Xenopus tropicalis: one gene and its partners. The protein of the gene in region 2 binds, or shares a complex with, the protein of the main gene of each other region. Links are inferred from orthologs where the notes say so. Each region holds a gene or a part of one and is shown on either strand. Other genes may lie near its edges. The genes, in order: ccdc153, efcab2 and fbxl13.

The links.
Region 1: efcab2 (region 2) and ccdc153 share a complex: the UniProt entries of both Homo sapiens proteins name them as parts of the nexin-dynein regulatory complex. The link is inferred for Xenopus tropicalis from reciprocal best matches to the Homo sapiens genes DRC8 and DRC12.
Region 3: efcab2 (region 2) and fbxl13 share a complex: the UniProt entries of both Homo sapiens proteins name them as parts of the nexin-dynein regulatory complex. The link is inferred for Xenopus tropicalis from reciprocal best matches to the Homo sapiens genes DRC8 and FBXL13.

The regions. Positions count from the first base shown.
Region 1 is NC_030683.2:80,326,786-80,330,541, forward strand, and holds the start of ccdc153 (coiled-coil domain-containing protein 153), read left to right. Parts: upstream 1-908; 5' UTR 909-1,097; intron 1,098-1,147; exon of another isoform or gene 1,148-1,323; intron 1,324-3,756. UniProt on the Homo sapiens protein: Component of the nexin-dynein regulatory complex (N-DRC), a key regulator of ciliary/flagellar motility which maintains the alignment and integrity of the distal axoneme and regulates microtubule sliding in motile axonemes.
Region 2 is NC_030681.2:51,986,814-51,990,569, forward strand, and holds the start of efcab2 (dynein regulatory complex protein 8), read right to left. Parts: upstream 2,710-3,756; 5' UTR 2,652-2,709; coding exon 2,627-2,651; intron 850-2,626; coding exon 765-849; intron 391-764; coding exon 318-390; intron 1-317. Other genes in the region: splicing factor YJU2, read left to right, coding at 2,832-2,855. UniProt on the Homo sapiens protein: Component of the nexin-dynein regulatory complex (N-DRC), a key regulator of ciliary/flagellar motility which maintains the alignment and integrity of the distal axoneme and regulates microtubule sliding in motile axonemes.
Region 3 is NC_030679.2:77,930,342-77,933,997, forward strand, and holds part of fbxl13 (dynein regulatory complex subunit 6), read left to right. Parts: intron 1-3,266; coding exon 3,267-3,360; intron 3,361-3,536; coding exon 3,537-3,604; intron 3,605-3,656. UniProt on the Homo sapiens protein: Substrate-recognition component of the SCF (SKP1-CUL1-F-box protein)-type E3 ubiquitin ligase complex.

The DNA of each region.
Region 1 (3,756 bases), on a different chromosome or scaffold from region 2:
GGAATAACCAATACTGATCATTTACTGATAATTGTCTCTAAGGGACACATTTACTAATCCACAAATCCGAATCCCGAATGGGAAAAAATCGAATTGGAAATGAAAATCTTGCAACTTTTTCATCGCCATCGCGTTTTTTTTTCGTATTTTGCGTGATTTTTTCGTCGCCGTCACGGCTATCATATTTTGTGCGACTTTTTAGTCGCCATCGCGGTTTTTTTGTATTGAGCAATACGTATTGAACCAATCCGATTTTTTCGCGACGGCGACGAAATAGTCACGACAATTTGTGAAAAAGTTGTGACGGCGACGAAAAAGTCTTGACAATTCGCAGAAAATACCGATCATTACGGAAAAACGCATTCGGACGTTCGTGGATTAGTAAATGTGCCCCTAAGTGTGGTTTAGCAGAGGCAATTCTCAGTATTGTCTTTGGCAGGGTATTTTCTGGGGTTTAGTAGCCGTCACAAGTAGCTGCTACTAAATAGCTCCACGTGTCTTTACCCAGAGAGGATCTAAACCCAAAAACATTTAGCATAATTTAAGAAGATTTAATTTAAAGCAATTTTACATTATACATTACATTTCAAATGTTCAGCGGTCTTAGGGCTCTGGCACATGGGGAGATTAGTCGCCCTAATCTCCCCGTGTGCCAGAACCCTTAAAGTTATTTGTAAATGTCATTGCTACTGAAAATGATATTTCTACTATAAATACCTTATACACACATAATGGAAAGCTGGGAGTGTAGGATAGCATAGAGATGTTTTTTATTTCATTATACAAAAAACATTTTACGGGTATAGATTACCTTTAAGTTCAGACTCTGAATCTTTAATATGTTTTGTTTTGTTCTTTTTATTAAGGTGATTTGCATTAACAAATTTCTTGTTTTTGTCTCTTCTCAGAGATTTACCGGTACCTTGTTGTTATACATCTTTTGTTACCATTACAGAAACCTAGCAACCTTTTGTATACAATTCTCTCTGAATCGGCTGGGCAAGGTTTGTGGGCAGGATCTTAAAGTGTCTTCCTGCTGGGTAAGCATTTCTCAGTGAATATCACTTTGTTGTTCTGCTGAACAGGATTCATTGCAGGTAAGGGCCACTTGCTGATATTTGCTGTTTAAAATACAGTATGTTATAGAGTTGCGTATTTGGAAAGGCAGCATGTGGAAAAGGAAGATGGCATCGTTATCATGGGCAGCCCCTGCAGTTGCTATGTCTCCACTATCCTCAGGCTCTTCAGTGTTGCTCTAGGCCTGACTGGATACCTGCATCTAATGAGAGACAGAATCAGAAAATAATCAGTTTGCAACGAAAGGTAATCAGATATAGGATATCTTATGATAAGCATACAGAGCAGGGTTGAATGGCTCCTAACTATGCAATGCTGCAAAACTACTTTGCAATGGATTGAAATGTAAGAGGTCATTTACAACCTTAAGTTCAGCGTGCAGTTTTTGATGCAAATCACCATGTTTTTTAATTCAAACTTAATTGTGGGCACACAGCAACTTGCACATGCTGTGTCAAAACAAACAGAATTGAGCAGTGCAGCTAACATTTTTTAAGAGTTAGGATTGCATCACTTCCGAGAGTCAGCATTAAAATTACGTTAGTGTTTAGTTCTTTTGTCACAATTCTATTGCACTTTGGTTCATCACAATAAGCAGGATGAGGAATGACACAGTGGTGCTTGGCGCAACTATACAGAAGTTGAGGAGGTGTTACTTTTAGGACTTCTTTACATGTTACATCAACACACAAAACTAATTTCTAGGGATGCACCAAATCCAGGATTCAGTTAGGGATTCAGCCAAGATTCGGCCAAATCCACACTCCTGGCTGAACCGAATCCAAATGTTTTCTAATATAAACCTGCCGTGGTAAATCACAAGCTGAAGAGCATGCTGTTCTTTGAGTGCCAACTATTATACTGGCATATACATTTTTGTTCCTAGAGCATTGCACTTTTGTTCATAAATGAGCACTAGATTGGTGTCCAAACTATTTTTATTAATACAATGCAACATTTTTCACTGTCTGATTTTTACTATAATATTGCTTAACACACACACACACATATATATAGTGAATAATGTACCCTCTTTTTTAAAATATAAGGATAGCCATTCCACAGAGGAGTTTCGTGACCATGAGTTCTTATATCCTCTTATTTTACAACAGTGGATACATTTAGTTATTATAAATACACAAGTTTCAGTGAGCCATGTGTCAGAAATTACATCATTAAGCATCGTTATAACTGATGCCATCACTAAGCATAATTTTTAAGGATATAATTATATGATATTCATGGCACTTCTGTGTTATACATATAGGGGCTGATTTACTAAGACACGATTTCGAATCCAAATTGGAAAAATTCCGATTGGAAATGAACATTTTTTTTGCGACTTTTTCGGTAATTTTGTGATTTTTTCGTATTTTTTTCGATTTTTTCAGCGTCTTTACGATTTTTGCGTAAAAACGCGAGTTTTTCGTAGCCATTACGAAAGTTGCGCAAAGTCGCGCCTTTTTCGTAGCGTTAAAACTTAAAAGGCGCGACGTTTCGCGCAAGTTTTAACGCTACGAAAAAATCGCGACTTTGTGCAACTTTCGTAATGGCTAAGAAAAACTCGCGTTTTTACGAAAAAATCGTAAAATACGAAAAAATCGCAAAATTACCGATCATTACGAAAAAAACGCAATCGGACGCATTCGGCCCGTTCGTGGGTTAGTAAATGTGCCCCATAGTATATATAAACACAAACATATATATATATAGTGTACTTATGTCTTGCACAAAAAAATCAATTATAATTATTATAGTCCAGTGAAATTCTTTGCATTTAAGTATTGTTGTGCTGTAGGGTTGCCACCAGCCCTGTATTTCAAGGATTCAGATTCAGTTAAAAACCGGGTACAAATCCTCTAAACTGCATCCAGTGGACACAAGTTTCCATGGGTCCTTTTGCCATAAGGCAAGGTGAGAAGTCTCTCCTTTTCCAGGGGTGGCAAAAAATACTCCTGTAATTTTACATGGAGAATTCCCAATAGCTTTCTCCATTTACATGCAACTGCAATCTCCGCTGACCAATACCCAGTCTGAGAGAAGAAAATGTATGTACAGGTGATGGAAACATAAGGGGTTGGAAGCATCAGATCTGCCTTCTTGGACAGCAAAGAGCCTTGATGTGCACCCGCAGATTTCCCAGTGTGTGGAGCTCAAGGCAATATTCTCCAATATTCTGTGTGATCTGTTGTACTAATTTACTGGACAGTTTGTAAACATTAATCTAGTCATCTAAATTATAAATGATTTAGCAATAATATGGAACAAGTAGCACATCTGTCATCATCTTGAATTATATTTAGTACCATGGCCTTAAGCTATTTCAGTTAATTTTGTTAAGGTGGTCATACATGTTAAGATTTGTTTGCTATTTATATAGTCTTCATTCATAGGTGTATAGTTATGTTAGGTGGGGTCCTTCCCTACTAGTCTCACTAGTGTTCCTGTGCTAAGGGTAAGAGAACATGGTTTTACAATAAAATAAGGCAGTGAAGAACTCACATATAATGAGGGGCCTTAGTGTGACAAGTAAACTTAAATATTTTGGGGGATGTGTGGTGCTAATTTTTCAATATTAATTTAATATTTTACATAGGCCATAATTTGTGCATTGGCAATTATTAGTATGTATTAGTTTGCAGGATTGAAATTCCACATGAACCTTTCAAGGGGCACATG
Region 2 (3,756 bases):
GTTTAGAAAATGTAACATTTTAGAAACAGACTTTAATAAAACAGTGCCCTCTATTGGCTGAACATGCTAACAAAGACTCGCAGAATTCTTGTTGCCTTTAACAGGCAAAAACTTTCTCAGCTACATCTTAAACGTGGGAGTTATTTTACACAGCAAGATAAGACATACAAAGGTTTTATCTCTTCTTAGGCAATAATAGGTCAGAATAAATATAAAAATATTTTTACTTTTACAGCTGCAATTTTTCAGTTTTTATTGATATGGGCACAATAAGTGCATATAGTTCTGTACTCTTTAACTTGTTTTTAAAACCTTACCTCTGCAATCATATCATGGAGTTCGCCTTCTGTTGGGCAACATTCTAAAGACCTTATGATTGTTCCAATCTCTCTGTTACAAAAGTAGCACAGTTAATGCATGAAACTTTAAAATAAAACAGGGTTAGGGTTAGCTTTTATATCCTGTTAATGTAAAAAAAATCTTAATTAGTCTAATAGCTTTAAAAAATAATAAATAAAATAAATAATGTGCATATTGTATACTTTTTTTAATGAGAACTCTTGACAAAGTAAGGTTTTGCTTGTTTAGTGTGTTGTTTTTTTTTACACAATACAAAGAAAATGATTACCAAAGCACACACACTTTTGAGATTGCATTAAATAATAAAAATGGCAGCTTTAGGAACTGAAAGCTTGTACAGCTGTCTTTCTCCTGTTTACCCAGCATTCTACAAAAAAAAACTACAGGGAAAATGTTATGTTTACCTGACATCAACAGTTTTGTTACATTCATGGTCAAAAACCTCAAAGGCTTCTGTAATTTTTTTCTGTAAATCTGTCACTAGAGATTCTGAAAAAATATGTGTAAGAAAATAATTAGATGCATTAATGGATTAGCAGGCATAGTGACATGCTTTACAGTTATACACTGTTTCCATTACTAATATGACTATTTGAGCTCCATCTGTGTGGAGAACCATCTGTCACCACTTCAAGTGCAACGGATCACCTCTTTAGCACACACAAAGATTTTGGCATGAAAATACATATATTTATATGTCACATGCCTGTCAGTGCACACACAGGTTCAGAAAGAGAATGGTGGTGCATTGCCTATTCTCAGATTGCGCTGAAACAGCCTTAGAACCAGGGCCGCCGCCAGGGAGGACAGTCCTGGGCCCGGTGGGTTTTGAGGTTTAAGGGGGGCCCGGCCGTGCTGCTGTGAGAGCTGCAGAATCGGGTAGCAAAGGACAGGAACCTGGGTGCCTGTATCTCCTTTACTGCTCATTTACCACAGAACTCTAAATCCTGGTAATTCTGCATGGGGATTGGATGGGTCCCTTCCAGCCCATTCAATCACCATGCACCTTTTCCGGGACTTAAACTTTATTGGCAAATGAGCTTACAGAAAGCTGTATGAGATAATAAGAAGCTGGCACTGGAGCGCTAGTCCTGTGTTCTGAAGGCTGCTGGTCACTGACTGCAGGGGGCCCTGGTAATCCAAGTGCAGCGTGGCCTGCGCTCCTATGACCATAAAAAACACCAGGACAACTATTTGCCCTCAAGGCTGCCCTGTACGGTGGTATTCTCTGTTGCTCATATACAGTATGTCTGTTCACACCATAACCTAAACGCTTGAATTAAGGAAATGGATTAATTGGCTTTGGCACTGACTATAATGGATAGAAAACAGAACATAAGCTACTAGCTTTTTTAACACACATTAAAAATGTAATTTGGTGCTTTTTTTTGCATTTATTACTTTTACAGTTTTCCTATATCTTGCACTGATCAGAATAACTTACTTCATTACAGCAACTTATAGTAGCTCATTGTCTCTTGCTTACATTTCAGGGTTTGTTTTTAGCCAACAGTATTGAGATGAGGTATAATAGTAATGGGTGCTAAATTCCAAAGTTTTGATTATAACTATCTTGCACAGAAGCCAATCCTAGTAACAGGGATGTGACTGGTGTGATCAGTACAATTTTAGGATATCCTTAGGTACACACCTACATACCTACACCTGCACGGCCCCCTTACGTTATCAGAGAATGGGAATTGCAGTACATTTTTTAAGGGGAAGTAAAGTGAAAAATCTAAGAGCCCTTATGGTGCCAGGTTCTTTATGAAAAAGACAATATTTTTTAATATAAATTTATTAAAAAAATCCATACAGGTTTTTTTTTTGTTTAACATAAATATAATCCCTTGCCTTTGATTCCCCCCCTTCACTTCACTAGGTCTGATGTACTGATCGAACAAAAGCTTAGATGCCCACTGGCTGGACAACAGATCCTGCTAATTGTGTTGTATGGGGCCTGTGAGTTCTGATGGCAGCCCTGCCTAGGATTATAGCACATTCTGCTGCCTGCAGTATATCAATACTAAAATTCTATTCCAAATTGTACCAATAGGTTAATTGATACTCTATCTAAAATGCACCCAGTATTTTAGTCACCCATAAAGATGAACAGGCGATTATTTGTAGAATGTACTTTACTCGTTTCTATTGATTTTCTAACAGGGTTCAGACCAAGTCTCTGTTAATTTCCCCTTCTCCTTCCCTCTCCTCGTCTCGCTATTTTTATCTGTTTTTTACATTTTGTTATGGAGCATTAACTTACCAGCGGCCTCCTTCTCATCAGTCATTTTTGTATCTGGTTGCTAGGTGACTGCACAACCCAAGTCATTTGACCACCTGGTGGCGCTGAGATGACGTGCGTGAATATAAAACACTTCCTAGCTGCTTGTTCCTGCGAGCGGCTGGAGCGTGACGTCATTGATCTGCGCCATTTGGAAAATACAGCTACAGAGGAGTGAAGAGTAACAATGTCTGAGCGGAAAGTCTTAAATGTACGTAATAGTAAGAAGGGACTTGGGGAAAGGGACAGGAGGCGCTTGGTTAAGGGATAGACCGGTTGAAGATATGTAAACAGCACTCACTAATAAAGACGTGGTGCGTCAGTAAAAACTCTGAGGATTGTGTTATAAAAGGTGCAAAATTCTGTACATGACTTGTTACCTAATGCAACCAATCAGCAAGTAGCATTTGCTGGTCACTTTTTTTTAACGCAAAATATGGCTTTCTTCACCCTGGCATACTTGTAACTTTTATTACGTATGAGGGATATTACATATGTTACATGTTATATAATTAATACTAAGAGAAGTTATCAAAGTAGTAAAGGCTGAAGTGAAGACAACTCTGCTGGGTCAGTAGTTCCAGCATTCCACTCTGTCAGCTTCAGGGGTAGGCTGCAAGGTCACCAGTATGAAATTCAATTATTATATTGTACATTTAAAGCAAGACAAATCTTGCTTCCTATGCCAGAAGCATCTTGTTTAAAAAGCTTGGTCATTCCACATACGTGCAGAGTTCAGCTAAAATGCATAACTATTATAATCATAATAAACGTTCTCTGGCAAAATCTGGCTAGTGTGCAGTAACAGGCGGATTACACATGGGGCAGCTAAATCAGCATGTCCCCTGTGTAGCAAAATGGTTTGTATGATATGGGCCTAGAGCTAACAGCGATGGCACTGGAAACTGGTTAACACAGAATATAGTCAGTTTATAGTGCGTACTACTAATATCAGTTGTCAGGGTCACGTTAAAAAACATGCTGAAGGTACTTTGATGTCTATGTTATGAAGATGTAAACTGTAATTAAAAGCCCAGCTTATGAATTCTTACATTTCTTGCTATATGTAATGACACCTATATATGTACAGATATATGAAGACACTGCTGTAT
Region 3 (3,656 bases), on a different chromosome or scaffold from region 2:
ATAGGTGTTCCTATTTGGGGTGATTTGTCTTTATCTGATTTTTATCAAGAAATTGTGAGAGATAAATGCGGCAAATTGCAACATTTTTATGAGATTTTCGAAATGTCATATAAATCTGCAAACTTAGGAAAGCTTTACAGCTTGGTGCTTTGAAGCAAGAAGAAATGTTTACCCATTATAGATTCGGGGGAATGTGTACTTTCCAAAAATATATGACTTTCTGGGGTGAGCGTACTTTTTACTAGCTTTATCCCACATATAATGATGTAAATGTGTTGATTTTGCAGGAGCTGAAATGACAGAAATGACAGTACATATGGGGGTATGTTCCCATTGGGGCCCCTACATGCCACATACTTAGGTAAACCTATACATATTGGGCATCAAACTGTTCAGTGGACCCCTGGTGTTCAAATTCAGGGTGTTTTATCTTGGTAACTAATGCTATGTGGGAGATAAGATGCTGCAAAGTGGAAGCTTTGAGGGGATTTTTGGAAATGTCATCAAAATTGCTAACTTTAGAAAAGCTGTGCGGCTTGGTACTTTGGAGTAGAAAGACATGGTTACCCATTTTAGATTCGGGGGAATGTGTACTTTCCAAAAATATATGACTTTCTGGGGTGAGCGTACTTTTTACTAGCTTTATCCCACATATAATGATGTAAATGTGTTGATTTTGCAGGAGCTGAAATGACAGAAATGACAGTACATATGGGGTATGTTCACATTGGGGCCCCTACATGCCACATACTTAAGTAAACCTATACATATTGGGCATCAAACTGTTCAGTGGACCCCTGGCGTTCATATTTAGGGTGTTTTATTTGGTTACTTTATGACCTGTAGGAGATAAGATACTATAGACTGGAAGCTTTGAAGCGATTTTTTAAAAAAATCACAAATTCTGATAAAAACCAATAACTTTAGGAAAGCATTGTGCCTATTCTGTATTCCCCAGAATCTGTTCTTTCCAAAAATGTACAATTTTCTGGGATAAACCTTCTGTTAGTGGAATTTTTGGCCTTGAAATCTAAAGTATGCAGCTTTCTGGAGTAGTGCTTTGGAAATTTGGTAGTGTACTGCTGGGAGTTTTTGACCTATACAAGTGAGAAATCTCCATAAAACTATATATATTTGGTATTGGCACGTTCAGGAGACATGGGACTTTCCAAATCAGTTGTATATTCGTGCATAAAATAATTTTTGTTTCTAGTATGTGTGATTATATTATGGAAAATTTGATTTTTTTTTGCATTTTTAGACATTTAGAAGCCTATATCTTGTTACAGAATTGGAATTACACAAAAATTCTACCATATTTTGAAAGCTTAGGTTGTTCTGAAAAAAACGATATATTGTTTTCCTGGGTAAACTAAAAGTCCCCCCGAGGAAAGGCCCCTAAAGTGAAACAGTGCAAAATGTTCAAAAACTGTCTGGCAATACAAGTTCCGCTTTGACCAAAATGGCTGGCAGTAAAAGGGTTAAAGGACATGGAAAGGCAAAGTAACTTGGGGGTACCAAAATGTTAGGCACCCCCAAGTGACTTTAATCGCCTATCTTTTACCCCGGGCTGGTGCCCCTGTTGGGAGAGAACAGCACCAGCCCGGGGTAGTTGCAGCGCTTCCTTCTTCCTGGTTCGCGAGCGCGTGCATGCGCAGTACAGTGAAAAGCCGAACTTTAACAGAGAAGTCGGAAGGGAGGAGGAAGCGCATCGCTCCAGGTACCCCGGGCTGGTGCTGTTTTCTCCTAACAGGAGCACCAGCCCGGGGTACAAGGTAAACGATTAAAGTCACTTGGGGGTGCCTAACATTTTGGCACCCCCAAGTGACTTTGCCTTTCCTTGTCCTTTAAAGAAAATAAGAGTTCAGAATTTTTGCTTTTTCCCCTGTTCTCATCAACCGACTGACTCCCCTGTGATAACAAGGGTCCCACCTTTTCTTGCTTCATTTATTTTACTATTTACTTATTTAAAAAATAATTCTGGATTCATTTTACTCCTGCTGCAATAACCATTCCCATCTCATTGCTTGTTTTTTTACATGCTTTATTGGCTTCCTTGTGCTTGATGAAAGTGCAGCTAACTTGAATTTTGAACATTTTTTCTTACCAACCTTGACACTAACACTTTTATCAACCCATAAAGGTTTTGCTTTGCAATGTCTCTCCTTGCTTACAAGGGGATGATAATGACATATATACTTACACAACATTTTTAAGATATATAATTTTCCTTCTGTGTTTAACCCTGTGAAAATCCTTTCCCAGTTAATATGTTGCAGATATACCCTTATACTGAGAAATATTGCACATCTAAAATTTTAGTCACTCCCTTATAGAGCTGTCTTTGCAACATAATCTCGAAGGAGACCATGTTATGACCACTTTTCTCTAAATGCTTACCCACATAAATGCTAGAGATAAGTTCTGCTTTATTAGTTATTACCAGGTCCAAAAGAGAATATTTTCTAGTAGGTTCTTGAACTGCCTTAAATAAAAAGTTGTAATTTAGCATGTTTACAAACCTGCTAACTTTTTCTGCTTGGCCACCCCATTACTTCAGTCAATCTCTGGATAATTAAAGTCGCCCATAATAACAACTTGACTAGTTGTGAGTCCTCCTAAATTTATTATAGCAGCTGGGCTTCATTCTCCTCATTTATACGGAGAGGTTTAAACCATACACCAATGATAAGTTTCTTTGTAACCTTAAGCCCTGCTGAAAAATCTACCCAAAGGGATTTAACACCCTCCCCACTGCTGTTCCTGGTAAATGTTTTAGCGCAAGGCTTTAATTCTGGTTTTACATACAGACAAACTCCTCTACCATCTCTAATCCCTATATCCTTCATAAATAGGGTGTAACCATTTAAATTCACAGCCCAGTCACAAATTTCATCCCACCAGGTCTCAGTGATACCAATTATATCATAATTTTCAGAACATGCAATAAGCTCTCCTAATTTACCTGACAAGCTCTCCTACCAAGAAGAACATAAATTGCCAGTAGGAAAACATATGCGTTGTTTTGGCTTTCGCAAGGAAACTTCAGGCAACTTTGGAAATCTGAGGCAAAACATATGTATTTTCTACCGCCAATTTACATTATTGCCAATATGAAAGCATTAGAAGAGATTAGTCACCACCAATAGAGGAAATTATTTACGGGGCGACAAATCTCGTGTGTCACAGTTTTTAAGATCTCAAGAACTGGTTTTAGTAATTTATTTTGCCAGATTAAGCATTCAATGTCATTAATTATCCAACAGGGATGCATTTATAGAAGAAGCAAAAAAACCTAAATTTAAGGCAATGACAGGAAGCTATCTAGAATATCTTTTTGGAAGAGATGAAGATCAACTGGTAAGTAACAGGCGGCCCTGTATGTCTTACATCTTAGTTTCAACTTCTCTTTATTTTCACTAGAGGGTGCAGTCACATTTTAGTTTTGTGTCTCAAATTTATATAGCAATCAAGCATTTAAAGCATATAAACTGGAAGATTTCCATTTCTTAATTTTCCTATATTTTATATTGCAGGTGTCTTCAGAATTACTCAAGAAAGCTTACTCATTTTATATCAACAATCTGCAGAAGCTGTATTTTAAGTAAGTATTGTACTGCTTGACAAGCTTGATGAATTACAAAGTACCTTAAGAA